7 linked regions of the Neurospora crassa OR74A genome follow. The protein of the gene in region 1 binds, or shares a complex with, the protein of each later gene. Links are inferred from orthologs where the notes say so. Each region holds a gene or a part of one and is shown in the gene's direction. Other genes may lie near its edges.

Region 1 (3,497 bases):
CATGCCGGCACCGCCGTACTCCTCGGGAATCTCGACACCCATAATACCCTGCTCGAAAAGCTGCTCGACAATGGCGGGGTCCATAGCCTCGGCCTCATCCATATCGCGGACCTTGGGAAGAATGACATCGTTGGCGAACTTCTGGACAGTCTCAGCCATGGCGGTCTCAACCTCGGAGAAGTGGGTAATGGGGGTTGGCGGCAGATCGGTTATGTCCCGGCGAGGGGAGGTGGTGGAAAGAGTGCGAGCGCTATGTCGGGAAACCAAGTATTAGCACATCGCCTTCTCCCTCTTCCAGCCCATCTCTTTTGAGACCAGACCAGGCATGAGACGAGATGACAAAACTTACCATTGGACGACGGGAGTTCTGGAGAGTCTGGGAGCGGAAACTGCCTGAGCCCTGCGGACGGCGGGACGCAAAACCCTAGTGAACGACTTCATTGTGTCTGATGCGTATGTGTGATGATTAAAGAACCGATCGGAAACCTGGCGCGAGTGCTGTCTAGGAAGAACGAAGAGGACAGAGATAATGGAAGAAAAGAAGGCGGAAAGGGTATCAAATGCTTGGGGAAGGAGAACTGGAGGTGTGATGGAACGAGCTTCGGGTACTTATAAGTCGCTGGGCACGGTACAGCGGAGCTAACACTAACGACCAGATGAAAGATGTACTTATGTAGCTCCGTAACGATGATCCGTGGAGTATTGGATGGAAGGCAACAATGACAGCGTGGGCTCAAAATAAGGTGAAGAGAGTCCCGATTTCTCTTGACCTTTGCATCGTATGCATCTCCTACACCTTCGATGTGTCTAACCTGTCACTATGCATTTGATATACAGAACAGATCATTATCGCAGAAGCCCACGCGGTATTCGAGGAGATAGGTGCGTACACCTTGATAGCAGGATACCTACGGGCAACCGGGACAAGAGCTCTACTGTTAGCTCTCTCTATCCCTCTCTCTCTCAGTAATTCAAAAGCCAAGCCAGCGGGTAACAAAGGTCAATGGCATTGGCCGGCACACGGCCGATATGCTGTGAACAGCTGGGTCAAGTGTCTCCCCCTCTGCCGAGGTAAGGTCTCCACCATTCACAAAGCTCCGAATCGGGCGGTCCTCTTAAGAGGTCATTTTCCCCACAAAGATTTCCTTGGCCGGGGTAAACGGTGGCCACGACAGGGATGCATTTGGGGGAGACACGGTAGAGACGGGACATCGGAGGAGGGGCACTCTCTCTCGAATGGACCTTGATGATGGCCGGGCACGGGGCACGGCGAGCGGTGACCATTGTTGCTAGACCGTGGATCGTGACTCGTTAATCGCGAATAGCAAACCATGGATCGTGAGCGAGAAGGGAAAACAGAGCCAGACGAGCGATAGAAATGGAATGATGAGGTGCCAACGAACGAGTTTCAGAAAACGAAGGGGAATGGAAAACAAATGCCATGTGACTGTCAGTTTGTCGAAGGCTCACAGCTAACCGATGATTGCCGCACACGACTCGGAGCTTACCCAATGGCTTCCGTCCCTCAAGCACGGCAGTAGGTACGTACCTCTGCTACCTTCTTGGCTCAGCTTATCTCCACGTGTGTCATCCCGTGACACGAAAAAAGTTCCCACACTGGTACCGCCCGCCGCCGCCGGCCCTGCGTGCGCCTGCCGGGCCCGGCCTGGGGAACCGCTATCCTGTACTGTACCGCGTCCTGTTGCGCGCCGCGACCGACCGAACTTGACGATTTCGGAGCATCCCGCCATCAGCAAGATCCACAAGATCACAAGATGGCGACGACTTTCTTGCGGAACTTGTTTTCGCAGGCGCAGCCGTCGCTGCTACGACGGCCGCTGATGCCATCGTCCTCTTCCATCCTTCCTGCTGCTGCGCGGTTGTTCTCCAGCACTCCGGCGCAGAATGCCACTCTTAACCAGGTCATGAGGGTAAGTGATGATGATGAGGCTATCCCCAACCCGCCTACCTCTACCTACCTATGCACCTATCACCACTTTGGTTCCCGTGCTACTACCACAGCCCTATGTCCCGCGTCCAATTCAATCTGATCAAAAGCTAACCACTCTTATCTTCATTCCTCCAGGGTTGCCGTAAGCCCCAACGTGCTCGCCACGCCGTCTCCCCCGCCCTGTCCTCCATCAAGTCTCCCGCGCTCAAGGGTGTATGTGTCAAAGTCGGCATCACGCGTCCCAAGAAGCCCAATTCGGGCGAACGCAAGACTGCCCGTGTCCGTCTTTCCACGGGTAAGGTCATCACGGCCTATATCCCCGGCGAGGGCCACAACATTTCGCAGCACAGCGTCGTGCTCGTGCGTGGCGGCAGAGCCCAGGATTGCCCTGGTGTGAGGTATCATCTTGTTAGAGGTGCTTTGGATTTGGTAAGTTTTTTCCTGAGAAGAAAAATCCCTAGATGGAGACCCCTGGATGGAGGATGGGAGAGAAGGAGAAAAAGGGGAAGATGAGTGTTTAGTTTGTGAAAATGATGTGCTGACAAAGAATGGTGATAAAACAGGCCGGTGTTGCTACTCGTATGTCTAGTCGTAGCAAGTACGGTACCAAGAAGCCCAAGAAGGCCTCTGTTGGTTAAGCAGCTAGCACAACAGAGCACAATTGAGATGATACCCCCCCTGGTTACATGGCAGTAGGATGATGATGATGTGATGTGAGCGTGGTGGAGGTGGTTAAGCTTCATCCATGTAGTTCATCATTCCGCATCCTAAACTATGTGTCCGTGTACTATAAGGAAATAAAAGGTGCATGACAGGATATCGGCGTCCATATTCCTTGTATTACGACTGTCGAAGACTGGCCATGTTCAAGATGATACAACACCGAAGACGAAATACTTCGGGGAAGGACGGAGACACTGGACCAACTGTGTTGCTGTCAGCTTGCCTTTTCACACCTGGCAATACCAGGGTTATCTCAGCAGTCGGTAACAACGAACCTAACCCTAAGTGATTGTGTCATGATTTCCTTAACGCCCCTTATAGCCCTTCCCTATCCATCAAAACACTCAGAACAGGCAGCTTCGTTTTTGCCCAACCTTTCCCATTTATAGGTCCATGTTTCCAGGCAATTGGGTTGTACCACCAATTGAGAACGAAAAAGTCATTATAACGATAATACATTCTAGGGAATGTCCGCTTTTGGTTTTATTTGCAGACCTGTTTTCCCAACATAAAGCCTTAATCCCCACACCCTCAGAACTGTTTCTTCTTCGCCTCCTTCTAATCCGACTGATCTTGCCAGCCTTCTGGCTTCGGAAGACCATTAAGCTCGTAGTACCTCGAAGTGCCTGATAAGTGATTGGGGTCAGTGGACGGCTCAGTAAGAGAAGGGAACTTCCGGGTAAGACTTACAAGAATACCCCTTCCAGTCAAAGTTCTCCTTGGGGTTGCAGTGGCACTTGCGGTCGAGACGGAACTGCTCTCCGGTGGGGCAGTGAGTGAAGGGAACGTGGTAGTAGGCAATGTCGTTGAAGAAGTGGATTTC
Region 2 (4,594 bases), on another chromosome or scaffold:
CCCTGGACGGAGCCGGCTTGATAGCTTGGCCGCAGTAAGCGCACTTGGGGTGCACCGAGAAGATGTTAATGATTGGTCGAGCGCTTCATGATTACCGTACAGAAACTTGAGGTCCCCATCTTCTATGTCTTTCTTTGTCCTTGGAGTCGGGGTTGTCAAAGCATAGTGGTTTGTGAGACCTGAATTCAAGATAAGCCTCCATATTTTTGAAAGTAACGAACACTCCAGGTAGGGGTATAACATTCCGAAGATGCCTGATGGATATCTCTACTAACTATGAAAGGAGGTGCTGACCTGTGGATGAACAAGATGGTTCATCATCGACTTTGGCCACAGCTTGTTCGTTGTGGTTTCTCTTCGTATGTGCAAACGAAACGGTCCCTGGTCCTCCCTTGAACCCGGGTCGTTTACCCGTAGTAATGAATGGCCTAATTCATCTGCTATGCGTCCTTCTCATGGCCGACGCCCGAGGTAAACCACGAGACTACGGGCATGTGATGGTTGGTGTGTCGAAGTATTAAAGATCAGGGGCATATGAGACCGAACAGTACTTGGTCGCTACAGCACGCCGCCAGTGGTTTCCTGTGCCGAAGGCTGATCCTTCAAGGGGAACGTCACTCCTGCCTGCTGCAGCTGGGCTTCCCGCGCGGCCTTCATCTCCGCCTTCTTGTCCGCAAACTTCTTGAGCAGCTTCTTGTTATCCAAGGCCATTTGAGCTGCTTTCTGACCAGCTTCCTTCTTGCTCAAAGCACTTCCGTGCCCAAGTTGCAGGTTGGTCTCCCCCCAGCCTGTCATAAAACAGCCAATAGCGAAAAGAGGCAGCTTGGTTCCCCTGTCCTTCAGGTTTTTGGAAGGGAGATCTTTATACTCGATCTTGACACCCCTGGCTCCAATGGTAGCTTCGAGTACTGTCTTTGGGTCGAGTGTCTGGCCACTTGCGGATTGCTTTTGCTCCGGCTTCCTGGCCTTCTTCTCTTCCTCGCGGATGTACTCCGCCATGAGAGGGCCCCATAGGGCCTTGAGCCAGTCTGAAGCACGCTGAATCCCATTGGCAGGATCAGAAAGAATCACGCCTCCTACATAGGCTTCGAAAAGGTCTCCGAGAATCTTAATTCTGACTTTTTGACTTGCGTTTGTACCGCCCACTCTGCCCTCCATGTTGAATTCTTCCGGGATATCGGCCATCTTGTCCAAGCCGTAATAGACCGAGAATTCGCCTAGTGTGGTGTTGCGGATAAGCATCTCGCGACGTTGTGCGCTTTTGCCAGCCGGCAAGGTCGGGAAAGTTTGATATATGAAGGAGGAGGCGATGAGCTCAAGATAAGCGTCGCCAATCCACTCCAGCCTCTCATAACTTGCAACAGGGTCGTTGTTAGCTTTACCAGGGTGTGTGAGCGCCGCCTTTTTGAGTGCCGGGTCCAGAATGTCGGGGAGCGGTGGCCGCATTCTCTGGATGGTAGCGAGTGTCCATTTGGTATTGGCATGCAAAGAAGGAATTTGGACGGAGGTTGCGGACTCCAATGTAGCGCCTTGTGATGCGGATGGTGCAGAGTCTGACTTCGCACGCTTGGAGGGCGGTTCTGATACCTCCTCCGGGGTGGGTCCGTGTTTCGGCATGGCAAGATTGTACTTTCCTACAAGCAATCCGAATGCCTCAGATCGCGCGTTGATGCGGCGATGAAATTGTAGAGGCAGAATCGAAAACGGATTCTTCAAGATGAGAACGAATCCCGGGCCATTGCGTAGTGGAAACCCTAACCCCCTGTTCGACCCCAGATCCACATCAGGGCGCTGCTGCTGCCCTGTTATGGCCCGTAGCTGTCATTCTTAGCGCCTGTCAGCCCTGGAACGCGCCGCCCTCGGCTTCATCAGCGGGCTTGCGCTGACGGCCCGGGGACACTGCGGCTCGAAAACAACGGTTGCAGTCCGTGCCCCACTCTTTGTACCCATGAATGGTTATGATTGGTGGCGCATTGCTTGACGGGCTGGAGCGGGAGATCTCTGAACGACGTCGAACAATCCGGCGGCTCTTGTTGTTGCTGTTTCTAGAATTCGCGAATCCGCAATTCCATGTAACGGCAAGATGTCGGTCCCACGGGCGCGGTTACTGCAACTTGTGAAGGTATGGAACAGTTCCGAATGAGGGGAAAAACCAGTTCGCTAACTAGGTTATACCTAGGCTCGTTGCGAGCTCTTCTCGACGACTTTCAATCCCGAAGGCATCCGGACCGGTAACAAGATCCTGCGTCAGCGACTCAAGGGCCCGGCACTTGCGACCTACTACCCCCGCAAGAACGTCGGTATTCGCGAGCTTCAAAAGGAGTTCGGTACTCTTGGTCTCGAGGTTGACGATGAGGTCGATGATGATCGTTTGGAGCACTTGGCAGCGTTCGTCTCTCTCATTCCTGCTAGTGTTTACTTGCAAACATCACAATCTAACCATACCTTACAGTCTGAGAGCCCGCGACAAGGGAGCGCCCAAGAAGAAGAGAACGGCACCCTCGGCGGCCGGTGGGTTTCGTCTGCACCTCTTACTCACGGTTCAAATCTCTAACGTTCATATTCTGCGACAGATGCGAAGAAGAAGAAATAAGACACGGCGTCCCGAAATCAGAACTACACGACGTGTACATGTATCATATAGTGGGCGGACTAGAATCATATACCCCGAATACCTGGCGTTCCTCCGGCAGTTGGTCCATTTCGACATGCATTTTTCCGCTCAGTACTTGATGCCATCACAGTCTCCCCGTGACGAGGTGCTGCCACAACTGTACATATGGTTAGCGACGCCCGCGGCACTTGCCCCTTCAAATGGTGTTGAATAGCCGCCTAGTTCGACAAGCAGGTTTGTGGTTACCAGCTTTGTCAAAGGTTCATCTCGGGACTGTCCTCCCATGCGTCTACACAAGTCTCTTGATGCATCGAACAAAGAAGCGCCTGTTGATAAGCTGAAGATACCGTATCTTGATTCCATAGCGCGGATGGGCTTGAGGGAGGATATGACCCTTCGCCATTGTCCCTCTTTACGAACAGCTTTGATCATTTGGGTGAAAACAACAAGCGAGTGTCGGATCACCCAAGATCTTTGCACAAGCCGTCCATGTCAAAGAACGCCATGAATGTGAAAAGGTGCGCTGGCTCTTCCTGCTCCATTTCAAGCCTTTTCCAAAATAAAAATGGATAGGAAAGGAAGCTAATCACACCTACCATAATTTGCAAAGACCTTGGCATCCCAGCCCTACCGGACGAGAAAAGCCGACCCGCCACTCCTATCTGTTAATGTCCACGATGCTAGGTGATGGTGCTGTCTTGTTGAAGCTTCCAGACGTTGCATGCTTCCCTACCTACTCTACTCATTTTCATTCCGACGAAGAATGGTAGATCACACCGAATGGCAGGTGACATGAACACCTAGGTATGAATACCGCCTAATGAACTCGGAATATGTCATTGGGGCTCGGACGCCTAACCCAGAAACCCGTTGATCGTATGGGAAGTGGCAGCCGGACAGCAAGGTCCTTAACGCGGCAGGATGTCTCATCGCTGGCTCGGTTGACCATCATGCCCGACGTCCCCGCGACACGTGAAAAACTTCGGCTTGGTGATAAGGATCCCGCTAGGCACAAGGACGGGAGGCACGACGCCAAAGGCCGATGATCGTTAGCTGGAATACCGGTCGCAACTTCCCCAGCGACTCATCATATTCGATTCCGATCTTCGGATGGACGAGCCGATGTGCGTTCACTCGTCAGATCATCTGATGGCAGCCCAAGTGAGCTTTGATCACAGAGATTGCGGATTATCTCACAGGCATCGTGAACCCCTTTTTGCTTGGAGTGTCCGGGCAGTGACACCTGGGCAGTCCCGGTCACAGTTCCATCGTGCCTTCCTCCCTCGGGAGCCAAGGGTCCACCATTTCGACTTTAGTCTCGGTCATCCCGGGCTCATACCTACCCTAGAGGTACCTACCTACCTCTAGCCCTATTCTGACCGGTGCGTCCATCGTCACCAAGAGGTTTGTTGCTGTTGCCTTGCGAGAAGGTCCAACTTCAGGGCAACTGTAGCTGAAAGTACGGGTATCTCGGGCACATTTACACTCTTTCTTCCGTCCCAGACCAGCTCTTGGAGCTCTTTCTCTTTTCCCCATTATATCAACACATATTTCTAAGGCTTCTTCTCTTTCTGCATCTTCTTGTCGGTGCCATCACCAACCGTGTTCTCTCAAAAGCGGTTTGTGGTCATCTCGCCCCCAAGCTTCTATTTATCTGTGTCTTTCGTCGCCATTGGAACCAAATCTACTGCTTTTCTCTATCACCATCTTGAGCATCTCCTCCCATTGTGAAACACCAGCACCCAAAGCATCCCTCCAATCCCCTCAGGCTAGGTCATTCAACATCCAGCCCTCAGCAGACGACCATGTCTGCCGTCGCAGCATCCACCGGCTCGCCCAACGAGCGCCGTGCTTCGGCTTCCAGGAGTTTCTCGCAGTCTCAGGACGAGAACACGAAGCTTCCCGATGAGTTGATGTCTCCCAACTTGCAGCAGGTATGTATTCTAGTTGTATGTTACGTATTCAGTTGCATGTTTCAGG
Region 3 (4,205 bases), on another chromosome or scaffold:
CACTTCGAAGGTCTCCAGACTCACCGAGATCGCCCAAAGCGGTAGCCTGGATCCCCATCCGGTATCGGGAGAAGTGGAGATAGATTGGGATTACGACGTCCACATCAAGTACAGGAGACCTGACCCCGAGACACTTCAGACCCTCGTGGTGTTGGGAGAGTTCGACCTGTTCATTCGTCTTGTGTACTGCGTCAACGACAAAGACGGTGGCGGCGACGGATGGCGTGTGGGCGAGGTCGGTGTAGCCAGCAATCCATCTCCCCTCGAATCCTTCCAGGGTCATGCTACACTCGATGAAGCAGAGAAGGCGTTCAAGGCCCAACAAATCTCTGTGCCAGAAACCAAACCAGTTGCCCAAGTATCCGTCCAAGCTGAACCGGTTGAAGAGGATGACGACGATGATTACTGGGGCCGATACGATGCCACGCCTTCCCAAACTCCCGGTCAAGGCCGCTCTCCTGCGCCGCCGTCCTTGGGCGCCGGCCTCAACACTCAAAAACCCCATCCCTTTGAGCGTAGTCCGTCCGCCGAAGATGCGTACTTCGCCCAATACGAATCCGTACAGCCAGCCATGGACCCCCATGATCCAGACGAGGAGGCCTTCCAGGGCGGAGCTGTGGGGGGTGGTGCACCGCTTAATGGTCTCCCCCTTCGCAGGTCTCCGTCGCCAAGACAACAGGCATATGAGCCGCCTGTCATCAAGTCCGCACCAGCGCCGCCGCCATTGGGCCTAAACGGAGACGGCAACGGCGGTTACGTTCCATCCCGATCACCCTCTGATAAGTCCGGTTCTGACTCAAGTGGCCGGCGCATGTCCCAGGCGGACGAGGAGAGGATGGAAAGCCTTGCTCATCCGCGCCCAGCCAGTAGCGCCAGCTCAAACGGATCCCGCATGGTGGCCAAGCTCGAAGAAACGGCGGAAGCGCAAGATCGAGTCGAGTTTGGAGTTAAGCAGCACGTCTCAAGGACGATTCGAAGTCTATTCCAGCTGTCACGCGGCGCTGGCATCAGTCGTGAAGAGTTCGAGCGGATGGTCAGGAACGAGCTTGATGTTCTTGCGATGGTGGAGGACGACGTTTGAATGACCAGGGAAGGAAGGGAAATTGATTCAAAGGGGGTGTCGGTGTTCACTGTTTATATTCCTCATTCTGTTCGGGATACTGCATCATCGGGTCGTTTTTGGCGTCAAGTAGTACTGGTGGGGGAAGTCCGGTGAGGGCGTCCAGTTCGCCTCGTGATTATTGTTAGTTGTTCGGACTTCGAGCAACGGCGTCCACGGAATTATTTTACAATAGCGTTACAGAATATCGGTCAAAGTACGATAATGAACATAGCACATACACGAGCAAAGTAGAGAAAGATGCCCAGTATCTGTGCACCAGTACATCATCGAAACGGTTGAAGACGCAAGTCAATGTGAACGCCAAGTACGGAACTCCGGAATTGGCAAACAGCTACCCCACCAAGGACGGTAGGTACCTCTCAATAACATCCAGGGTTAGGGTCAAACCTGGCTCTTTGCGAGGACGGTGAGGCTGCCGGCCGCCAGTTCGTCCCAACGATTGGTCCCTGCTCCAATGGCCGGGTCCTTCCGCAGCGGAGCAAAAAAAGTCTCGAAAGTCGCGTCCCACTTCGACCGTCTTCCGGGGTTGAGTGCCCGTGTGTTCTGAAGTGCGTCCGCTCTGCGCCGGCAGCCCGTCCAGTCTTGAAGTTGTCTCCGTCCGTCCTCAAGGTCCGCCCCCCACACACACTGTCCACCGTCCATCTCCCCCGACCGAACGACCGGCCGACCTTCCCTTCCACCGAACCTTTCCTCCGACCCCCGGGCCGTTTTCTTGCGGAGAAAGAGACCAAAAAAAACCCCAACAGACAAAATGATCGGCTCCATGGGTCTAAGGATACCCCGTGCGACAAGCTCGCTCCTCGGCCGTGCCGTCAACGCTGTCGCCACCAACCAGTCCGCCGTCGCCGGCGCCAGCATCGCCGCTCAAAGGAGATGGCAGCACTACCTCATGCCGCTTCGCGACAACTTCGAGCAAGAGGGCATCCGCAACTTCCTCAGCCCCGGCTCCGTCAACATGGCCTATACCGAGTACCAGACCTTCATTTTGGAGAAGCTTAACGCGCTTGTAGTAGGTACGTACGGATGACACAGCAACACAGAACATACTCGTCTGGGGAATTTGGTGTCGCTGCGTTATCATGTGGCACGGCATAGCACGGCATGGCATGGATGAAGGTTACGTGCGAGGATTACTGGCTGCGAGGAATTGGTATCCTTTGGTCGAAAACGCCAAGCTGGGATGCTGTTAAGCCTGAGAGGAAGAGGAGGCATTAGCGCAGTGGTTAGGCCACAAAGGAATTGGTGGAGGAAATAGAAGGAAGGGGACTCGGATTGAAGCTCAAGCCAGAGCATGCCCTGCCTATCCGGGGGGGAAGACATGATGTCACCTATTTTGCTGCATGGGAGATATCTAACCGACAAACCACTTTGCTTACTTCTCTTTCGTCAAACAGGCACCGACTTTGAGCAAAAAGACACCAAGTCCATCGTCCTCGCCACCGCACGCGACCCCGAGCTCGCCCATGTGTTCAACCACGCCTCCATGGCGCACAACAACCACTTCTTCTTCGACCACCTGTCCCCGGTCCCCGTCAAGATGGGCGACAAGCTATTTTACCACATCAACGAGAACTTCGGCTCCGTCGACACGCTCCGCGACGAGATGATCGGCACCGCCGTCTCCATGTTCGGTCCCGGTTTCGTCTGGCTCGTCCGCACCCAGCTTCCCGGTCAGCCCGTCGCCCTCCGCGTCATGGCCACCTACTTGGCTGGTTCTCCTTACCCGGGCGCCCACTGGCGCCGCCAGGAGATGGACGCCCAGACTTCCATCGGGAGCTCCCCCCAGGGCTTGAGCAACGGCCAGCGCTTCTTCGAGCGCAGCGCAGCTGGGTTCAAGGGCAACAAGCTTGAACCTACGGCTCCCGGCGGCACTGATTTGATTCCGATCTTGTGCCTCAACACGTGGGAGTACGCGTGGCTTCGCGAATACGGAACTGGTGTGGGTGGTATGGGTGGTAAGCTGGCGTATGCGCAGAGCTGGTGGAACATGATTGATTGGGCCAAGGTCGAGGAGGAGGCCAGGCTGGAGACTAGGATCTTGACGGGCGGTGATAGCTCTGTTTAGCCTCTTGCTTCCATTCTGCGGGGGAAGAGGAGGGAGGAGTGAGGAGGAATTGAAGTAGGAAGTGAAGCGGGAGCGTGAAAGCTTAAGCCTCGACTTTTTGGTTCTGAATTACTCGCGACTACTGGTCCATCAGTCCATGCCTGCCGCCGCCATCGACAGTCCGACGGCTGTCACCTTGTCCGAGGGGTAGAAAGAGCGAGTGGAACGGGATGGAGATGGATTATTGTACGGTTGCTGCCCAAGTTACTTCTGTGACTTTGTCTGTCTATATGGAACCCGGATATATAGGGAAAAGTTGTTCTGTACGATAGGATAGCATGACGGTGAGACCGGCCGGAAAAAGAGAAAGGAAAGTAAAAACCAAGCCAGCCCCGGCAGCTGCCATCTATACTTTTACATGTGTATATTACCAATGAACCAAATGTGTGTGTGTGTGTGAAAGAGGAAAGCAGGATAACGGCAACGAAGCAACAAACGGATAGGTCAAATGCAAATTGTAAATATAGCACTTTGAAAGATGGACGCACATTGTGACATCGACATCCAACCTTCTCTGCTTACTTGACCAAACTTTTTAGTACATCTCCTAAGGACCTCATACGGACCTACATGTCCGACTACTCCTTACTCCGCATGATGTCTGCTTCCTTCACGATATCAGCTCACTAGGTAACTACCACGACACATCAGCTGTTGAAAACATACCTGACCGCTGCCAGTTGTAGCCCTTCTACCTTTGTAGTTTCAGCCTCTGATTTCTCCTCCTTCGCAAGGCCTCAGGCTCCATGCCGAGTGATCGGTGACAAACTGAATCTTGACTATTGACTGTTAGGTTATCAGATTTGCCTGGCCGAGACCTCACTGGTTCGTTTCAGCGCGGTAGCTACTAAAAGTAGGTACGTAAACCGAGCACCGGTGAAGGACGGCAGAGTGAGTGTATCGGTGTCTCGATTGCCATGCCATGCCATGCCATGTCATGTCTCGCATTGGGACTCCGTACGTTGGATCCGGTCAAAG
Region 4 (4,452 bases), about 920 kb from region 1:
TTGGTGAAGAAAGCCTCGATGTCGAACTGAGTGGATCCGGTCTCTTCGCCGAAACCCTTGACGTAAACGCTGGCAGCCAGACGGGCCTTTTGCGCATCAGAGGACGAAGTGTAGGCCTTCTTGCGCTTGACCGTCTCCTGGCCCTCCTCGCCAGACACATCCAAGAAGGCGCTCTCCTTCAACGCGGCGACGACGGCCGAGTAGGGCTGGAACATCTGCATGCGCTTGAAGCTGCAGATGGTCTTGAGCGAAACGGGCTTGTTCTCCACGCCTCCGGTCGTCTCCCACATGAACTTATCGGTAGGGAGGTTGCTGTCGCTGAAGTAGAACTCGACCTAAGACTATTTGTTAGACACGGGGACACGCAGCATGCCAACTGTTTTTGTAGTCTGATCGTACCTGGTTGCGGATCTTGACGGGATCGTCAGTGACGGGCTGGGTCGAAGGATCGTATTTCCTGTTGTTCTTGTAGTCGGCGCGGTCGATAGACTTGGTAGCCTCAGGCTTCTTCTCCTCCTCCTTGCTGGCATCCTCAGTCTTGGGAGCCTCCTCGGCGGCGGGGGCAGCCTCCGCGACGGGGGCCTCTACAGTCTCGGTTTGGACCTCGGTCTGAACATTCTCGACGGCAGGCGCAGCCTCAGTGTTGGCGGTGGTATCGCTCATGATGAAGGTCGGAGTGGCCTGTAGGTATTTGAAAGGGTAAAGTACAAGCGGCTGTAAAGGCAATTGACCGTCTAACGTGACGCGCGTGCACGGAAGAGAAGAATGGATGTAGATGGCCGGGAGAGAGATAATGGTGAACGGATGATGAAAATGCAGAAAGTGCACTGGAGACCGGGGACCAAGCAGGCAAAACGACGAAATTATTTAGTGGGTCCTTCAGGTGCACTCCAGTTTTGGGGCGGTAGGCGCAAAATGTTATTGCAGGGTGCAGTGGGGGAATGGTGTTGGGTTGGTGCAGGGTTGATTGTTGATCGACGCGACAGGAAAGTCGGCCATTCACCAGCAAATCCCAGGACGTGTGTGAAGTGTAGAGGTAGTCACGTAGTGTAAGTCAGGTAGGACCTCGATAATTCTGAACTGTAACACACACTTCAATTCCCTTGTCAAAGATCGAGAGTTTGATTCAGTCTTGTCCATCCATTACTGAGCTCCCTCCCTCCATCATCATACAGCAGCGTAACCCATCTGCCCTGACTTTTTCCAGGGTCTGTCGGCATTGGAGTCATATCGAGGACTGCACTTGTCAAAACCTCCCCCTCAGCGCAAAAAAATGGAAGCGGCGAAACCAAGCAAGCAACCAAATCAGCCCCACCCAGGTCCAAGGGAACCGCCTTTGGGTTTAGACTTTTTGTGCCGATTTCTACCGCCTGGCTCTGCTTCTAGCCCCACTCCACTTGCACCCGCAATCCGCCAAGAGGTTGCGGAGCTATACCGCATGCGCTCTAGCTCCCGCATCCTGTGCCTGCCAGTTCTCCACCATCCGGCCTGGAGTTGACGCGCACAGTGGCCCGAGCTTCTCACGTGAATGCGACCAATGGGCGAGCGCGTGCTCCAATTCGGGTCTGAAATAATTTTCGGAGGACGGCGCCCGATAAGAGGTGGAAGGGCCCCGGGAAGCTCCCCTCGTTGGCAGTGCTGCTAGGTGCCCCGGACCGCTCCGGACTCGACAATCTCCAAACAACCTGCGCCGAACCGGTCCGTCCACTTCGCCAAAAGCACGGGGCCTACAGTCCGATCCGATCCCCCGAAGCTCCTCCAAACACACCACACCCAACATGAAGATCCGGAGGTTGTTCAAGTACCACAGTTTGAAGAAAAAGGTATGTGCTATTCGGTGTTTTATGCCGCCGTCGCCGGGTTTGCCGTTGGTCATCGTCGCCGCCGCCGCATCATCACCCCATTCGCCCCATTACCTACTACCTGCCAGTCCCATTGCCACGACACTCAACACCCACCACACGCGATCATGCTGACGTATTTTGTGTGCGCTTCTTCTTCTTCCGAATAGCCCATCAGGCCGACATGGAACAAATATAACCTGTACAACCTGGCTACGGCCGGGAGAGAACCCAGAATCAGCGGCAAGACATTCTTCCAGCAGAAATGGCTCGCCAAGTCCTTGACACGAGCATACCACGGCGAGCACATCAAGGAACGCAAATGGGCGCGCATGTTTAGCCGTCGCCTACCGGCCGTCGTCAACATGGACCCGGCATACATGGCCAAATATAACGGCAGCGAACAAGCCGCCGGCCGCGGTTCCGGCCTCTCAGAGCCCCCAGCCTACGAGAAGACCGCCGACGAGAAACCTGCCAAGCAAGTCATCGCCAACCCGGGCAGGAAGGTTCCCACGCCGTACGAGCAAATGACCTTTGCGCCTCTCGAGAGACGCCTCGATATCGCCATATTCAGAGCCCTCTTTGCCAGCAGTGCGAGACAGGCCCGCCAGATGGTTGTGCACGGTGCCGTCACCGTCAACGGCAAGAAGGCATGTACACCATCACAACGTTCCAATACCGAATCCCACAATACAGTGCACCCATGCCAAAGCTGCTTGTTTCGGCGCTAACATTACCCGATCCTTTTGCAGATGAAACACCCCGGTTACCTCCTGAACCCTGGCGATCTCTTCCAAGTCGACGTCGAGCGCGTCCTCTATGCGACCGGTGCGCCCAAGGACAAGAAGCTCCTCGCCGCGGCTATGAAGGCCGCCAAGAAGGAGCTTGCGGAGGAAGCACAGGAAGCCGCCGAAGAGAAGGATGCGGAGGCCGAGGAGGCCGAGGAAGGAGAGGCACAAGAAGCAGCCTCCAAGTCCGGCAAGAAGGAGAAGCAAGTCGACACCTCCAAGTTCGACGAGGCCTGGAACCGCAAGTACGAACTCCTGCAGCTCCAACGTCTGCTGCAGTACGCCAAGCACATCGCCGACTCGCCGTCTCACCAGCTCTCCGCGACGCGCAAGCAAGCATTGCGCGCTTTGAAGCGCGACATCAAGGCCGCCATCAAGCAAGCGCAGCGGCGCGACGGGTCCGTTTCGCCAACCGGTAACGTGGTGGACGACCTGACGATGCTTCTCGAGCGCCTTGCGGTCTCCCCTTCCAAGGCCATTCAGCAGGAGGAGGCGGCCAAGGAGCTGAGCAAGAAGCTTGACAAGCAGTCGCGCCAGGTGCTCAAGAAGGTGATCGAGTACAACGACGAGCACGAGGACAACGAGATCGACCCGAGCAAGCCGTACATGACCCCCTGGAGGCCGCGCAACTACATGTCCGCTTTCGCGTTCATCCCCCGCTACCTTGAGGTCAACCAGAACATCTGCGCGGCCGTCTACCTCCGCCACCCCGTGGCGCGCCCGGGCGAGTCCGAAGTACCGTCGCCTTTCTCCCCCACTATCAACCAACTCGCGTTCAACTGGTACTTACGGAGAGGTTAAAGGAGGTCTAGTTAGGAGCGAGGGAATGAAAAGGGGAGATGGAGGGAGGAACGGCAGTCACTCTCTGCCGTCTCAGAGCGGTAGAATTCGCCAATGGACGATTAGAGTCGCGCGCACCCAGTTTTTTGCATGTCGCGGGTACGCTCTATTGTGCTTGTTGCATCTTCAAGGCAACCTCGGATGATGTGATACTCTGCACCTGCTGCGGCTTCAGTTGGACCATGCGTTGGAAATCGGGTTCGGTCTCGATGAGAAAGCTGCGAAGTGGGCGGCAAATCTCGCGATTCCCGGAGAAAAAGGAGACGGGGATGGATCATGCATGAGATGAGTTGACTTCATACGTATTTTGGGCACATTGCGCGTAACAGTTTGTTCGTTCCTCAATACCCGAACAATCTGTTGCAGACTCATTCAGTTCGCCCCCTTCGGCATCGATGTACGCTACATGTATCATTACCACTATTAACTAAATGGATATAAAGAGGGGCATAGACAAATTTCCTTCTTCTTTGCGTAAGAAAGTCATGAGACAGATGAGAACCACCGAGACACCTACGGTCTCCTCTCTGAAAGCTCAGTGCTTATATAGTAAAATTGCCAATCATAGCATTGTCGATCGAGAGGAGCAGTGCAAAGGTAAACACTTATCACTGAGGAAGACGGCAAAATTCGCCTTGAGAGCGCGAGAGAGAAAAAGGCTAAGAAATAACTATCTAGGAGAGGCTAAGTGTACGTTGAGTGTGTGTATGTTTTATGTGGTAAGCAAGAACCCTCCGTGGCTGGAGAGCGAAGCACCAGTTGAGAGAATCGGCCGGAAATGTTGGGTTGGGTATGACCGACCGTAAACCGTGAAAAGAAAAACCTCCTACAAGAATTCCCCGTGAAATAAAAACATCTGATCGCCGATGAAAGCAGTTAATAAAATACATGTGTTGTTGGGATATCTGGTCGTTCGTTGCTTTTCGTCCAAGTGAGATTTCCCGCCTGTTCCCTTACGCCCCCTTTGCAACTTGCATATGGTG
Region 5 (4,182 bases), on another chromosome or scaffold:
AGACGACCTGCTGAATCCGTTCAGTGGAGATGGTGCCTGAGACGGCCTGGTTCAGTTCCGTGCGCGCGAGCAAGCTCAACGGTGGAACACTCCGACACGCAATGCTAACGAGCCAGTCGGCGTCTCGTTATGATGGTAGAATTACTCGTGGAGCACCATGCCGTTATAGTGACCGTTCAGCCCGAAAGAGGAGGGATCTGGAGAGCATTAGATCATGTGAAGAGACGGGTAACACTGATACTCAGGCACTCGTCCGCATTTGCGGTAGTCCGACAAGTTGATCAAGGCACACTCAGACACCCAGGGACGGGAAGTGCTCCCTACTAGTTTATTCCGGGAACGGTTGATCTTGATGGGTAGCTAGTGCAAACAATTGCGCAGCAGTCGAGCTGCTTGATGATGATGATGATGATGATGGAAGTTGGAACTCCATGGCTGGCTGGATAGTAAACAAATGCAGCCCTGTTCTCAGGTGGCTCGCGGGAAGAACGAATGCGGTGCCCTTCTCGGACTTTGCGCGCAGACTGGTGAACCGATCAAATGTTGATCAGACCGACCAGAGGGAGGGGGGGCATTCGTCTGAGGGCATCGACGATGCAAGCACACCCACAAATGCGCAAAACAAAAAAAAAAGAGTGACGGATGGTGAAATCCAAAAAGAAGGTCGTTGTGAACGCGAACGGGAAACCACGGCCAGATAGATATATTGACTGCGGTGGCGCTCTTGCCTAGACGAAGAATCCATGACGGCCCAGTCCATGCCCAGGCAAGGCAAGGCAAGGCACAGCACGGCAGTTCACGCCTGCCTTAAACTACCTACACTACGTCCTACATTGATGTACAAACATCATACATACTGTAGTGGTGGCGAGGTGTATGGAACTTGAAATGCTGAGGAAGGAGCAACACTGAAGAAGACGGAGTGCACGATCGATGTGAACCACTGAGCTGCAGTCAGGAATCGACGGACGCACGCCGGTTATCGGCCACCACCAAGAATGCCAATAGTCCGGAATCCGGGATGCTATGTTTTGGAGTATCGCAGTCGCGTTAGTCCTGAACCAATTGACGGCAGCACGGGCAGCAAGTGTCTGAGAGTGCCAACCAGTGCCGCCGGTTTGCTAAACGGTATGTAAGTCATATAATACTTGCTGTATCCTAGTTCGAGTAACACCAAGATTTCGGCCCCAAGTGCTGCTCGAGCAGGGGGGCTTGCCAGTACAGGGGTAGGTACCTGTAGGGTGTGGTGCACGAGTCACACCACCATAGCATTAGATTCAGCAGTATCGTGCATAGATTTTCTTCTTCTTGCGCACCCAAGAAATGCACGATAACACAAATTGGATGCTAATTGATCTTTGCCATCAGGTAGACCCCGCTTTCTCTGCTCACTAAGCAAGTGCCGTTTGACTGAAGATTTCCGTACCTCTCCACTGCAGGGTTGACATCCATCTGTATATTGACGGTAGGTTACCTTGACAAAAAGAGGTGTTTAGAGGGTTATCATCGTAGTGTAATTATGGGGGCGTTGCTTTTAGATATCGATAGACAGGGTTACCCGTGCAGGGGTTTTTGCTGTATCGATAATCGCTTTGATGAATGCCCCCTAACCCTGTAGAAGTACCTACTGCGTACATAGGTAGCCAGGGGGGAGAGTCAGCGGGGGCGTCCGTACTAGGTATGCCGGCCGGCAACCGATAAGCTTGGCAGTTCCAAAATTCGGCCGTGGTCAGCGCTCCCGTCACTGCCGCCGTCGCCGTGATACCTGGAACCGCTCCGCCCGCCCGCCTGCCGGACTCGCCGACTGACTGACCGACCGACCGACCGACCGACCGACCGACCGATTGATCTCAAGACCATCCGAGTGTCGCGTACGCGCCCGGCCTCTTCCCGCTATTTGCAGCCACCACCCATCACCACCGAATTCCTTCTCGTTCGCGCCCAACATGCAGCCAACAAGGGTTCTTTTCAAGAGATCCGTGTGGAAGGGTAAGTTATTTTGTTTTGTCTCCTCCTAAGCTTCACCTTGCGATAATGTACTCTTTGCGCCGTCCAAGACAGTCAAGCTAACCCGCATCGCCGACTCCAGGTCCGCACATTGTCCCGTAAGCTCTACTACCCCTTCCCCTCGTTTCTGTCCCCGCGATCTCAATGACGACGACGACGACGACGACGACGACGACGACAATTCAATGCGCCGGCGCACTCCCGAGGACTCTCTCTCCTCCCTGCTCCCGATCAAAGCTGCCGGCGCATGTCCATCATTCTCTACGAGCCCATCCCGCGACATTCCCCTCCATCCGCGAACCAACGCAGTCCAACCGAATCCAACCGCAACGCTACAAGCATAGTCACCTATCTTGAGCGCAAACGGGCACTAACCACCAACGCATACACACAAAACAGTCTCCCCATCCAGCGCCCCGAGCCCGGCAAGAAGATCGCTCCCATCCGCACCCAGGCCCGGTCCGCCACCATCCTGCCCAACTTTGTCGGCCTCAAGTTCCAGGTACACAACGGCAAGGACTACATTGACTTGACTGTCACCGAGGAGATGGTGGGGCATAAGCTTGGAGAGTTTTCTGCGTAAGTGCTCTTTCTTTCTTTCTTTTTTTTTTTTTTTGGTTCTTTCTTCCCCTACTTTCACTAGTCTACTTTTTTCCTTTCTTTTCCTTCTTTGACTATTATTTTTCAATTTCAATATATTATTTTTTTAAAGGGTCTTTTTTTTTTCCTTTTTTTTTTTTTTTTAAGATGGCGGCGGAAATGCCATAAATGTTGGCGGTGTGGGAAAAGAAAAAAAAAAAAAAAGAATTTTCCTACACAAAATTCAATGGTCTGACACGGCATGGCCATGGCATTGGCTGGTGGCAAGCCATGAATGGCTGGACGGGCGACATGTGTTGGACGCCACCACGGGATGATGATGATCGTAGGCGGTGGTGCAGTGTGGTCAGCAGAAAACAAACAACACAAAAGACACACATTGGGCATATGGACATGAACAATTGGACCGACACTAACTGAATGGTTCAAAACCTCAAACAGTACACGCAAGCCCTTCATCTGGGGTAAGAAGAAATAGACAAACCAAACTTCGTTCGTCTCTTCAGTGATGATGATGAAGAAGAAGAAGAAAAGAGAAGAAGAAGTCGATTGATTGATGGATGCGGGTTTGACACGTTTTTTCTGTGGGCGGCGTTTATTTCGGCAAAAAACAAAAAAGCATATTTTCGTTGCTTATCTGTATCATACCATACCATTGTCAGAGGAGGGCACAGGTTTCTGTACACATATCATATTTTGGGGCAAATTAGAACTTTCGCTTGGATTCATACTACTGTGCTGTGTCTGTTGTTTCAAGATGAACATGTATATGTTGTGTAGTGTGTAGTTTAATTATGCTTTGTAATTGATAAAAATATGCTAGTATCGCCAGGTATTATTATTTTTAGCCTAGACTAGTAGTCATAACGGGTTCACTGAGAGCAAACAGGACGATGGCAATCTTCCATAACGGCGCCTCCTGAACGCCAAGCGCAAAAAAAAAAAAAAAAAAAAAAAAAAAAGGAAAAAAAAAAAGGAAAAAGAAAAGAAGACCCGATGACCCCAAACCCCTTTTGCACCGTTCCCGTGTTGGACCCTTGATTGCCGACCCTTTGCCCATCCATCCATCCATCGATGCATCATCCTCTTGATATCCTCCTCCTTGAGCAAGTAACCACTTGTTGCCGCCCCTTTAAGATAGTATCATCCTTTGGTCTGCCATGCCACCATTCCGCTCACACTCAGGCAAACCACCCACCGTTTCCCCATCCCTTCTCATCAGTAGAGCAGACAGTCCTGCACCGTGACCGTGACTGCCCCCCTAGCGATAAAACTCGCTCCTCTTCACATTAACCCCAAACTCCCCTGCCGCCATGCCCAAATCCTCCATCGTCAGCACCGTCCTATTCTGGCTGCCACCCTGTCCACCACCACCGTACCCCGGCCTCTGGATACCCAACGGTCCACCTCTGCCCTGATCCTTCGCCCCCGCCGCCTGATTGGTCGGTTGTCCAGGAATAGGGAACCCCGCCGCGGCACCCAGACTGCCCATCGGGTTGTTCGCGTTGGTGTTGGATGCCCTGATGCGGGAATACTGGTAGGCGTCGGCGGCGATGTCGGCAATAAACTTTTGTG
Region 6 (3,518 bases), on another chromosome or scaffold:
GTTTGTTACATACGGTCGAATGCGAAGCGCTGGCAGTCGTTGTACCTCGTGTTCTTGGTCGAGAAATACTTGAAGTAGAAGTCGGGGTCATGCACGTAGCGAACTTCATCTTCCTCGTTGATGAAATAACTATACGCACAAGATATATCAGAGTGAGTGTCGTGGGAAGGATGACTAGGCAGATTATCACGAACCTGAGCTTCTTGAGATCTGGGGCGAACTTTGGTTCAGCCGGAAGGCCTGACCAACGGCGACGAAACATCTTGTATGTTGGAAAGTCGTCGAGTTTCCTGGGTGCGTTGTTGTGGAGGAGTCAAAAGACGGTTGCAAGCGAGAGGAAGGATAGCCTAGAACGCTGATCGCGTCGAGGAGTATTTAAACACTTCGTTGCTTGGAGGATCGCGAAGAAACTCGAAGGCCACGGAAGCGGTTGAAGATGGGACGGAAGGAGCCCAGCAGTTGTTCTTCCCTTCTCAGGCACAGAACGAGATAGGCGAAGTCGGAGTACGGAATGGGATGATACTAACGAGCGAACATGAGAAGGTAAACAGACAACGAACGAGACACTCGACTCCCTCTCCTCAGATGAATGGCCAAACCGCGATGACATTGCAACCGTCAAGGTGTTGACATACTGTAGGGTCTCTTGCCCATCTCATCCAGACCTTCCCCATCCCATCATAGAGATAACTTGCTTGACAAACAATTTTCATAGGAAACAGTCGCACACAAACCGAAAGCCGCTTCAACATGCAGGTGTTTCTTTTGGCAGGCTCAAGGTTGCTGCAAACGAGAGCAATCATCCGTAGACTGATAGAACGTATACTGCTAAACACCAGCGATCATCAAAGGCATTGGTAAAGGGTGCGTCGAACGTACGAAAGTGGTGGTGGATGTGGTTGTCACATGCGAACGGCAGGCATCAACCTTTGCAACCCGTGAACAACGTATTCGGTAAGGTACGGGTGAACTTAACACACTCGTTTCGCATACGACAACTACATCTTTGGTAGGTAGAATGATTCGAAAGGCACCACTCAGTCAACCCATCCAAAACAATCCTTCTTCCTCACACCCCCAGCCTGTAGCCAGAGATTGCAACGAAAAAGTGAAGATGAGCACAAAGCAAGTAGTAGTGTTGAGTTCGCGTCGCCTGGAGGCAGTGTAATACCAGGGACACAGTGGTCGGCAACCATAGGCAAGCCCAGAGGGATGCCGACCGAGTTGCAAAAATTAGAATAATCACGATTCTACTCCGTAGAGCAGTTTCAGAGATTAAACTGAAAAGAACAGATACTACACTTGATCTAAGCCAAAAGGCAAAGAGAGCTAAAGAAAAAAAGAAGAAAAAACCAGGTAAAAATTTGGGAGGGGGGGCCAGTCTTAAATAGGCCCAGATGTGGCCTGTGCACGAGCTGCAAGCTTGAGAGTTTGAGTGGAGCCCCGTAGAAAAAGTGCCGTCCAGCTGGTGTGCGACTGGCACACCTGGCAAAGTGTTTGTTGCTGCTTGGTTTGGCGCTTGCAACCTGCGATGAAAATGACACCGCCCGGCAGAATTTGTCGTTCCGCACGCGGCAGGGCTGGACGGCAAGCGCACAGGCCACTGGCCGCCGTGGGAGCCGGGGAGAGTGACTGCGGCTAGCGGGCGACGACGCCGGAGGGAAGCAACGACTGCAGTGCCTGTGACATCGATTTACGCGCCTCGATCCGCCGCTATCGACGCCCATCTCCGACTCAGCCCGCCAATCTGCCCCAGAACACCAAACCGCCAAAATGTCCATGTTTCGTGCCAAGAAGCTCGACCTCGGGTGCTTCACCAACGTCCGGGTCCTTCGTGACCACTCCAAGCGCAAGGCCTTTTTGGAGGCCGAGCCTGAGAGGTAACTACCTACGCCTTGCGATCCTTATTTGCGACTATAATAAGCACAAACGATCTGACGACTCCTTGCTTTATGATACAGACAAGCCCTGCGTTACGTTATTCGCAACACCACCCTCCCTGCCCGTACCAGGGCCGTCGCCCAGCTCCAGCTCACCCAGATGCATGCCTACACCAGGCCCACGCAGATCCGGAACCGCTGCATCCTTGGTGGAAAGAGTCGAGGTATCTTGAGGGACTTCAAGATGACAAGAGTATGTCGCTATCGATTGCTTCAAAGAAGGAGTGGTGTCCTAAGAGCTGAGCTCCGCATGGGAATGATGGAAACCTGCAAAGGCGCGCGACTTGCTAACACTGTTGGATCGCAAACAGTACAATTTCCGTATGAACGCCCTGATGGGTAACATTCCGGGTGTCAAGAAGGCCTCTTGGTAAAAGAGAGCATGGCTACAAGGAACCCAGAGGTTTGTTGTGGTTTGGAGATGGTGCCGGTACGCCCAGAGGCGAATAAACTCTGTTCAAAACCCAGATGGGCTCGGGCCATCGTGTTGGTAAGAAAGTATCACTGTACGCAGGGTTTTTGAGATACCCGTATAAGTAAGTGATCGCATGATGAGGAGTGCTTCAAAAGCTTTTCAGTGGGCAGAGGGAGTTTGTATGATGCATCCTTTTGGACATGGGAATCTCTCTCCCGATGCCCGCTGTGTAGAATTGTTGTTACAATATTATATTCAGACACGGCAAACGAATGAATGTCTTTTTCAAAGTAATCGAAAGAACCAATCTCCCCTAACGCCAAAACGCATGCAACCCCCAAGGTGCCTAATAACCGATCCGTCATCCGTCTGTTATTTTGCCCGCCACAGGATAGCTGTGAAAGCCTAGATCCCGATTATAAATGTTGAAACACGCTCCGCAAACCACATCTAGCATAAGCTGCCTCAAGAGGACTGGACGCTAGTCGCCTCCTCGGCGGCAACCGCCTGACCAAGAGCCTCAGAGACAACCTTCTCGCCAGAGCGCTTTCTCAAGACGTTCTCGATGAAAGCCTCGCCGGCCTTGTATGAAGAACGGACCAGAGGACCACTAGCGCAGTACAGGAAGCCCATGTCAAGCGCACGCTGCCTCCAGAGCTCAAACTCGTCGGGAGTGATGTACTTCTCGACCGCGAGATGTCTCTTGGTTGGGCGCATGTACTGTCCAAAGGTAACGACATCGACGTCGACCTTCCTCAATTCTACAAAGCAACATCATGGTCAGCATCCATCAAATGGGCAAGCGCAATTGGTATGACTTACCCCTCAAAGCCTCCCAGAGCTCCTCCTCAGTCTCACCCAGACCAAGCATGATGCTGGTCTTGGTGATAATGCCTTCCTTGCCCCGGACCTTCTTGACGTGTTCCAACACCTTCAAACTCTGGCGAAATGTGGCACGGCGATCACGCACGTAAGGCGTCAAGTTCTCAACAGTCTCAACGTTATGCGCATACACATCCAGTCCGCTCTCCGCCACAATCTTAACCATGTCCAAGTCACCAGCAAAGTCACCGGTCAAGGCCTCGACAAGCAGGGTCGGCTTCTTCTGCTTGATCCGGCGAATCGTCTCTGCAAAGTGTCGGGCACCACCATCGGCCAGATCG
Region 7 (4,030 bases), on another chromosome or scaffold:
TCACAATCTCACTCCCGATATCCCCAAACGGCGGACAACGTGCCTGGGTCTCTTCAGTTGCAGGATCTTCCGTCTACAAAAACTGTCCTACCGACTGGCAATGGGGAGTTGGGTCCACGCATAGATCCCAAGGGAATATCCACTTCATCCTTGGAAAATGCGCCGGAATTAGAGTCCGTGATGGCTTAAGATGCCTTGCTTATTATTTTCAAAATTTATCAGGTTGGAAACGGAAGACTAACCTTACTTCGACCACAGGTATATGAATGATCGGGAAAGGAAGCGTGGCCCAGATGATGCGTTGAATCAGTTGTTCGACCGTCTGGTCGGCGGTATGTCTCTTTGCCCCTGCCTCTCATTCCCCTCGAACTAACATCGATACAGACGAGGACCGAGCAGCAGCAGGAGCCGGAAAACCCGTCGAGGCCATCGGCGCCGAAGCCGCCCAAGCCTACATCTCCTCCATGGGCGCCAATATCGAAAACGTTGAAGCTTTTGTGGTCCTTGAGATCGTCCGCGCCGACTCCATCGGCCAAATCACTCGCCAGGGTTTCGTCGAGGGGTGGTCCTCCATCTACCTCGACCACCGCATTCCCGCAGACCCGGCCCACCACAGAAACTACGTCCGGATGTGCATCCAAAACCTGCCTCAAAATCCGGCCTACTTCAAAAAAGTCTACCAGTTCGCTTTTGGCCTGGGTAAGGAACCTGCCCAAAAGGCACTGGAGAAGGACGTTGCCTTGGTATTCTGGGATTTGTTTTTGGGCACCGAGTCTTCAGATACAGGACTAGGACCGAGGCCGTGGAAGAGCAAGAACGTGGATTGGCTGGGTGCGTGGAAGCGGTTTTTGGCGGAGAAGTGGACGAGGAGCGTCAACAAGGATATGTGGAACCAGACGCTGGCGTTTGCGGAGAAGACGATGGTGGATGAGACGCTCGGGTTCTGGAACGAAGACCAGGCGTGGCCGGGCGTGATTGACGATTTTGTGCTTTGGTGCAGGGAGCAGGGGATTGCCAAGGCGCCTGCACCGGGGGCAGCAGGAGGGGAGGGGATGGATGTTGAGGATTATTAGAAAGTTGGTCATGAGCATCCGGGGAAGGAGTGTAAAGGATGAAGTCAAGTGGGTGGATGTGGTTATACGGGGGGGAGCATATGAGGATGTTGGTGAGGACTCTTTCGCCTTGGCGCAGGGAGGATAAGAGGGGCAAAGAAGAGAAGCACTGATGGTCATGCTGTTGCCAGTTGATGCTGGGAGGGCTTTCGGGGCTCTCATGGCGGTTATCATCTTGTTGAGGTTGCTGCCATGGTGGTCAAGCGGCGCATCGAAAGATCAGAGGTTGGTTCGCAAAGAGCAAAGAATACATTTACACAGCGCATTTCCAGATACACAATACCGATAAGAGCATGCATTTACAACATGAAGGCCATTCAAAGGTGTATGAAGCGGTTGGGAATGTTTTTAGAACAAGTCTGATTTCTCATTGCTTCTAGACCACATTATAACCCTTTAGGAACTTTTAAAACAGCTTTTCTGGAGGACCATTACACCCAACAGATGTCTCTACAATCACCGAGGTGACAGCTGAAGAGTCGAGTAAACAACCTCTCTCCCACCCACCCTTGATGAAGTGTGTACACCCCTATCCGGAAGGCGGTCAACGCGGCAGAATCTCGACCTTCTTCCTGGACCCCACAAAAATTTCCAAGCAAGCGGCGGCACCCGGACGCCCACTCGCAACCAACCCGCTGCGGCACTGCGGCAATGCGGCACTGCTGACGGCAACACCCACCACACCCTACAGTACTTGCTGAGCCCGGTCACAACAGCAGCCACAGCGGTACCTACTGTGGGGCTCCGAACTTCTTATCGACGTCCAAGGTTCACTAGGTAGTACTATACGCGCTTTCGGCCGGTCGCAATCGCATCGCATCGCATCGCGAAACTAAACTTCTTTTTGCGTTCGTTTCTTTCCCCGAACCGATTGCCCGCCGCCCAGCCCAAACTACCAGACAGGATGTTGTATGAGACTATTGGTATTGTGAGTTACCCTAGGGTTGAACTACAGGAGCAGGTTAAGAGATTGGGGGTACAGAAAAGGAAAGGAAATGGAAAGGGAATGGGAGAGGAGAGAGATGGAAAGAGACAGTCTTGCTAATGATTGCACTTGTGAACAGGTCCGCCCGGGCAACATCGCCGAGGTGAAGGAGTATGTTTTTTTCCCCTTCTCTTTGTTTCCACTCGATAGTCCGTCCGACTTGAAGAAAACTCCCTCCGTCTTTCCTTTCCCTTACGAACCCGACCCGACCCGAACCGACCGATCTTTCTCTTGTCTTCTCTTCTACCACATCATCCACGACCCTACCTACCTATCACCCCGACTCCGACTCCGAACCCAACCCAACCATCCCATCCTCTACCAACCTTCCACACCTCGTCGTACTAAACAAGAACCAATAAAAAAAAAACAGACTCGTCCTAACAGCCGGCAAACTCATCCTCAACCAAGGCGGCGTCATCCGCGACATCAAGAACTGGGGCACGTTCCTGCTGCCCCGTCCCATCTCCACCAACCAGCAGCGCCATAACCGGGGCCACTACTTTGTCATGCGGTACGACGCCAGCATCGCGACGCACGAAGAAGTCCGACGCACCATGAAGGCCGACCCGCGCGTGATCCGCACGGCGAACGTGAAGTTGGGCGATGGCAAGCTGGAGACGCTGTCGAGGTTTGGGGCGATTCCTTGGAGGAGTTTAGAGGAGGCGTAAATCTGTATCTTCTGGACGGAGAGCAAAAGAGGGGGCGGGTGGGGGGGGAATGTGTACGATGGATGGACAGATGGATGGGAAATAATGAATCGAGTCGAATCGAATCGACATATATCCATCCCATCTCCTTACCGGCTTGTGTATACCAAAAGGGCCGTGATGAAGCAGACCGGACAACATATATGGACGGATGGATGGCAGGCATCTTTATACCTTCTTACCTCCGTCGACAGCAACAATAAAAACGACCGAAACACCCACCAATAACGATCTGGGCCTTCGATGAGCAATGGTACATCGTGAACGCACGACACCTGGATAGCAACATGGGATACATACATACAGACAGGCAGCATACGTATCCGAAATCTTCATTGCGAATGGGTTGCGGAACCATCCATACCCACTCAGGTTGAAGGAAGGAGGAACCTGACTCCTTTTCGACCCCGTTAATGGATCACCGTCGTCGATCAAGAAGTTCTGGCGTGAATTAGGGTGCACTCGAAACGGTCAGAGTATCATATCAGTCAAGCCAGCTAGAGAACAAACTCCCGGACCCGTCTTTGTTCATGTACGATAACGCATGTGGAATGTGATCCGCTAAAGAATACGACGCCATATTCAGATTCCTTAAAGCAAGGTAGTTCATCGGTCCCGGCTCAACAAGGATGGCTTGGGATTAAGAAACGTCAGACACGATCATATTAAAGTTACGGGTGATCTTTGAAAACTTGACGTGAGGGCTCTTCGCTCAAACTTCATCCTCGTTTCAGTTACCACACTTGTATGCTACACTACCTCCCCTTATCAAATGTAGTTGATCGATCCTCTCGAGTTCCCAGTTAAACACTATGATATCAGTCTCGCCAACACACGGCAACACACGGCAACAGAGGCATGTTCATATCACCAAGTCAACACACATCCAGAACCGGGGCTCACTAAAGTGAGATTTAATGTAAACCATCTCTATCAATTACCTTCCACTACTTTCACTCGGCTACCTAAATAATGAATCACTCCAGTCTTCCCTCTCTCTCTCTCTCTCTCTCTCTCTCTCTTCAAAACGAAAATTTTTCAAATCCAGTCTTTCCACCCACCATACCAGCAACGCCCGGAACAAGCAAGCAGTAAACTGACCACCACCACCACCACCACCATCACCAACCCCCTTGACGCTGCGTTTGTATCCTACCACTTTATCCCGGCGTTTAGACACAAAAGACCCGGTAGTGAATGCAAGGAAGAAAAAAAAGGAAACA

What was found.
Region 2: NCU06542 (region 1) and NCU01761 share a complex: the UniProt entries of both Saccharomyces cerevisiae proteins name them as parts of the mitochondrial small ribosomal subunit. The link is inferred for Neurospora crassa OR74A from reciprocal best matches to the Saccharomyces cerevisiae genes MRPS12 and RSM27.
Region 3: NCU06542 (region 1) and NCU07386 share a complex: the UniProt entries of both Saccharomyces cerevisiae proteins name them as parts of the mitochondrial small ribosomal subunit. The link is inferred for Neurospora crassa OR74A from reciprocal best matches to the Saccharomyces cerevisiae genes MRPS12 and RSM26.
Region 4: NCU06542 (region 1) and NCU08296 share a complex: the UniProt entries of both Saccharomyces cerevisiae proteins name them as parts of the mitochondrial small ribosomal subunit. The link is inferred for Neurospora crassa OR74A from reciprocal best matches to the Saccharomyces cerevisiae genes MRPS12 and NAM9.
Region 5: NCU06542 (region 1) and NCU08728 share a complex: the UniProt entries of both Saccharomyces cerevisiae proteins name them as parts of the mitochondrial small ribosomal subunit. The link is inferred for Neurospora crassa OR74A from reciprocal best matches to the Saccharomyces cerevisiae genes MRPS12 and RSM19.
Region 6: NCU06542 (region 1) and NCU00564 share a complex: the UniProt entries of both Saccharomyces cerevisiae proteins name them as parts of the mitochondrial small ribosomal subunit. The link is inferred for Neurospora crassa OR74A from reciprocal best matches to the Saccharomyces cerevisiae genes MRPS12 and MRP2.
Region 7: NCU06542 (region 1) and NCU05717 share a complex: the UniProt entries of both Saccharomyces cerevisiae proteins name them as parts of the mitochondrial small ribosomal subunit. The link is inferred for Neurospora crassa OR74A from reciprocal best matches to the Saccharomyces cerevisiae genes MRPS12 and MRP17.

Annotation. Positions count from the first base shown.
Region 1 is NC_026504.1:1,584,132-1,587,628, reverse strand, and holds NCU06542 (putative mitochondrial 37S ribosomal protein MRPS12), read left to right. Parts: upstream 1-1,632; 5' UTR 1,633-1,775; coding exon 1,776-1,931; intron 1,932-2,086; coding exon 2,087-2,380; intron 2,381-2,514; coding exon 2,515-2,589; 3' UTR 2,590-2,770; downstream 2,771-3,497. Other genes in the region: NCU06543 (acyl-CoA dehydrogenase), read right to left, coding at 1-250, 350-441; NCU06541 (alpha-1,2 mannosyltransferase KTR1), read right to left, coding at 3,233-3,300, 3,365-3,497. UniProt on the Saccharomyces cerevisiae protein: Component of the mitochondrial ribosome (mitoribosome), a dedicated translation machinery responsible for the synthesis of mitochondrial genome-encoded proteins, including at least some of the essential transmembrane subunits of the mitochondrial respiratory chain.
Region 2 is NC_026502.1:2,519,875-2,524,468, forward strand, and holds NCU01761 (hypothetical protein), read left to right. Parts: upstream 1-1,879; 5' UTR 1,880-2,083; coding exon 2,084-2,122; intron 2,123-2,179; coding exon 2,180-2,388; intron 2,389-2,452; coding exon 2,453-2,511; intron 2,512-2,573; coding exon 2,574-2,593; 3' UTR 2,594-3,132; intron 3,133-3,224; 3' UTR 3,225-3,998; downstream 3,999-4,594. Other genes in the region: NCU01762 (nucleolar RNAse III), read right to left, coding at 559-1,617; NCU01760 (pumilio-family RNA binding repeat protein), read left to right, coding at 4,420-4,548. UniProt on the Saccharomyces cerevisiae protein: Component of the mitochondrial ribosome (mitoribosome), a dedicated translation machinery responsible for the synthesis of mitochondrial genome-encoded proteins, including at least some of the essential transmembrane subunits of the mitochondrial respiratory chain.
Region 3 is NC_026501.1:6,129,472-6,133,676, reverse strand, and holds NCU07386 (Fe superoxide dismutase), read left to right. Parts: upstream 1-1,604; 5' UTR 1,605-1,874; coding exon 1,875-2,136; intron 2,137-2,517; coding exon 2,518-3,188; 3' UTR 3,189-3,649; downstream 3,650-4,205. Other genes in the region: NCU07385 (hypothetical protein), read left to right, coding at 1-1,081. UniProt on the Saccharomyces cerevisiae protein: Component of the mitochondrial ribosome (mitoribosome), a dedicated translation machinery responsible for the synthesis of mitochondrial genome-encoded proteins, including at least some of the essential transmembrane subunits of the mitochondrial respiratory chain.
Region 4 is NC_026504.1:2,501,799-2,506,250, reverse strand, and holds NCU08296 (mito ribosomal protein S4), read left to right. Parts: upstream 1-1,589; 5' UTR 1,590-1,778; coding exon 1,779-1,823; intron 1,824-2,011; coding exon 2,012-2,491; intron 2,492-2,593; coding exon 2,594-3,430; 3' UTR 3,431-3,974; downstream 3,975-4,452. Other genes in the region: NCU08295 (RNA-binding La domain-containing protein), read right to left, coding at 1-335, 400-663. UniProt on the Saccharomyces cerevisiae protein: Component of the mitochondrial ribosome (mitoribosome), a dedicated translation machinery responsible for the synthesis of mitochondrial genome-encoded proteins, including at least some of the essential transmembrane subunits of the mitochondrial respiratory chain.
Region 5 is NC_026502.1:3,811,125-3,815,306, forward strand, and holds NCU08728 (mitochondrial 37S ribosomal protein RSM19), read left to right. Parts: upstream 1-1,567; 5' UTR 1,568-1,946; coding exon 1,947-1,989; intron 1,990-2,089; coding exon 2,090-2,105; intron 2,106-2,406; coding exon 2,407-2,586; intron 2,587-3,048; coding exon 3,049-3,085; 3' UTR 3,086-3,337; downstream 3,338-4,182. Other genes in the region: NCU08729 (transcription initiation factor TFIID 23-30kDa subunit), read right to left, coding at 3,869-4,182. UniProt on the Saccharomyces cerevisiae protein: Component of the mitochondrial ribosome (mitoribosome), a dedicated translation machinery responsible for the synthesis of mitochondrial genome-encoded proteins, including at least some of the essential transmembrane subunits of the mitochondrial respiratory chain.
Region 6 is NC_026501.1:7,986,241-7,989,758, reverse strand, and holds NCU00564 (mitochondrial 37S ribosomal protein MRP2), read left to right. Parts: upstream 1-1,568; 5' UTR 1,569-1,773; coding exon 1,774-1,880; intron 1,881-1,961; coding exon 1,962-2,133; intron 2,134-2,251; coding exon 2,252-2,314; 3' UTR 2,315-2,670; downstream 2,671-3,518. Other genes in the region: NCU00563 (hypothetical protein), read right to left, coding at 14-129, 195-262; NCU00565 (lipoic acid synthetase), read right to left, coding at 2,821-3,116, 3,178-3,518. UniProt on the Saccharomyces cerevisiae protein: Component of the mitochondrial ribosome (mitoribosome), a dedicated translation machinery responsible for the synthesis of mitochondrial genome-encoded proteins, including at least some of the essential transmembrane subunits of the mitochondrial respiratory chain.
Region 7 is NC_026503.1:613,955-617,984, forward strand, and holds NCU05717 (mitochondrial 37S ribosomal protein YmS16), read left to right. Parts: upstream 1-1,754; 5' UTR 1,755-2,016; coding exon 2,017-2,040; intron 2,041-2,176; coding exon 2,177-2,208; intron 2,209-2,470; coding exon 2,471-2,768; 3' UTR 2,769-3,467; downstream 3,468-4,030. Other genes in the region: NCU05716 (hypothetical protein), read left to right, coding at 259-332, 385-1,073. UniProt on the Saccharomyces cerevisiae protein: Component of the mitochondrial ribosome (mitoribosome), a dedicated translation machinery responsible for the synthesis of mitochondrial genome-encoded proteins, including at least some of the essential transmembrane subunits of the mitochondrial respiratory chain.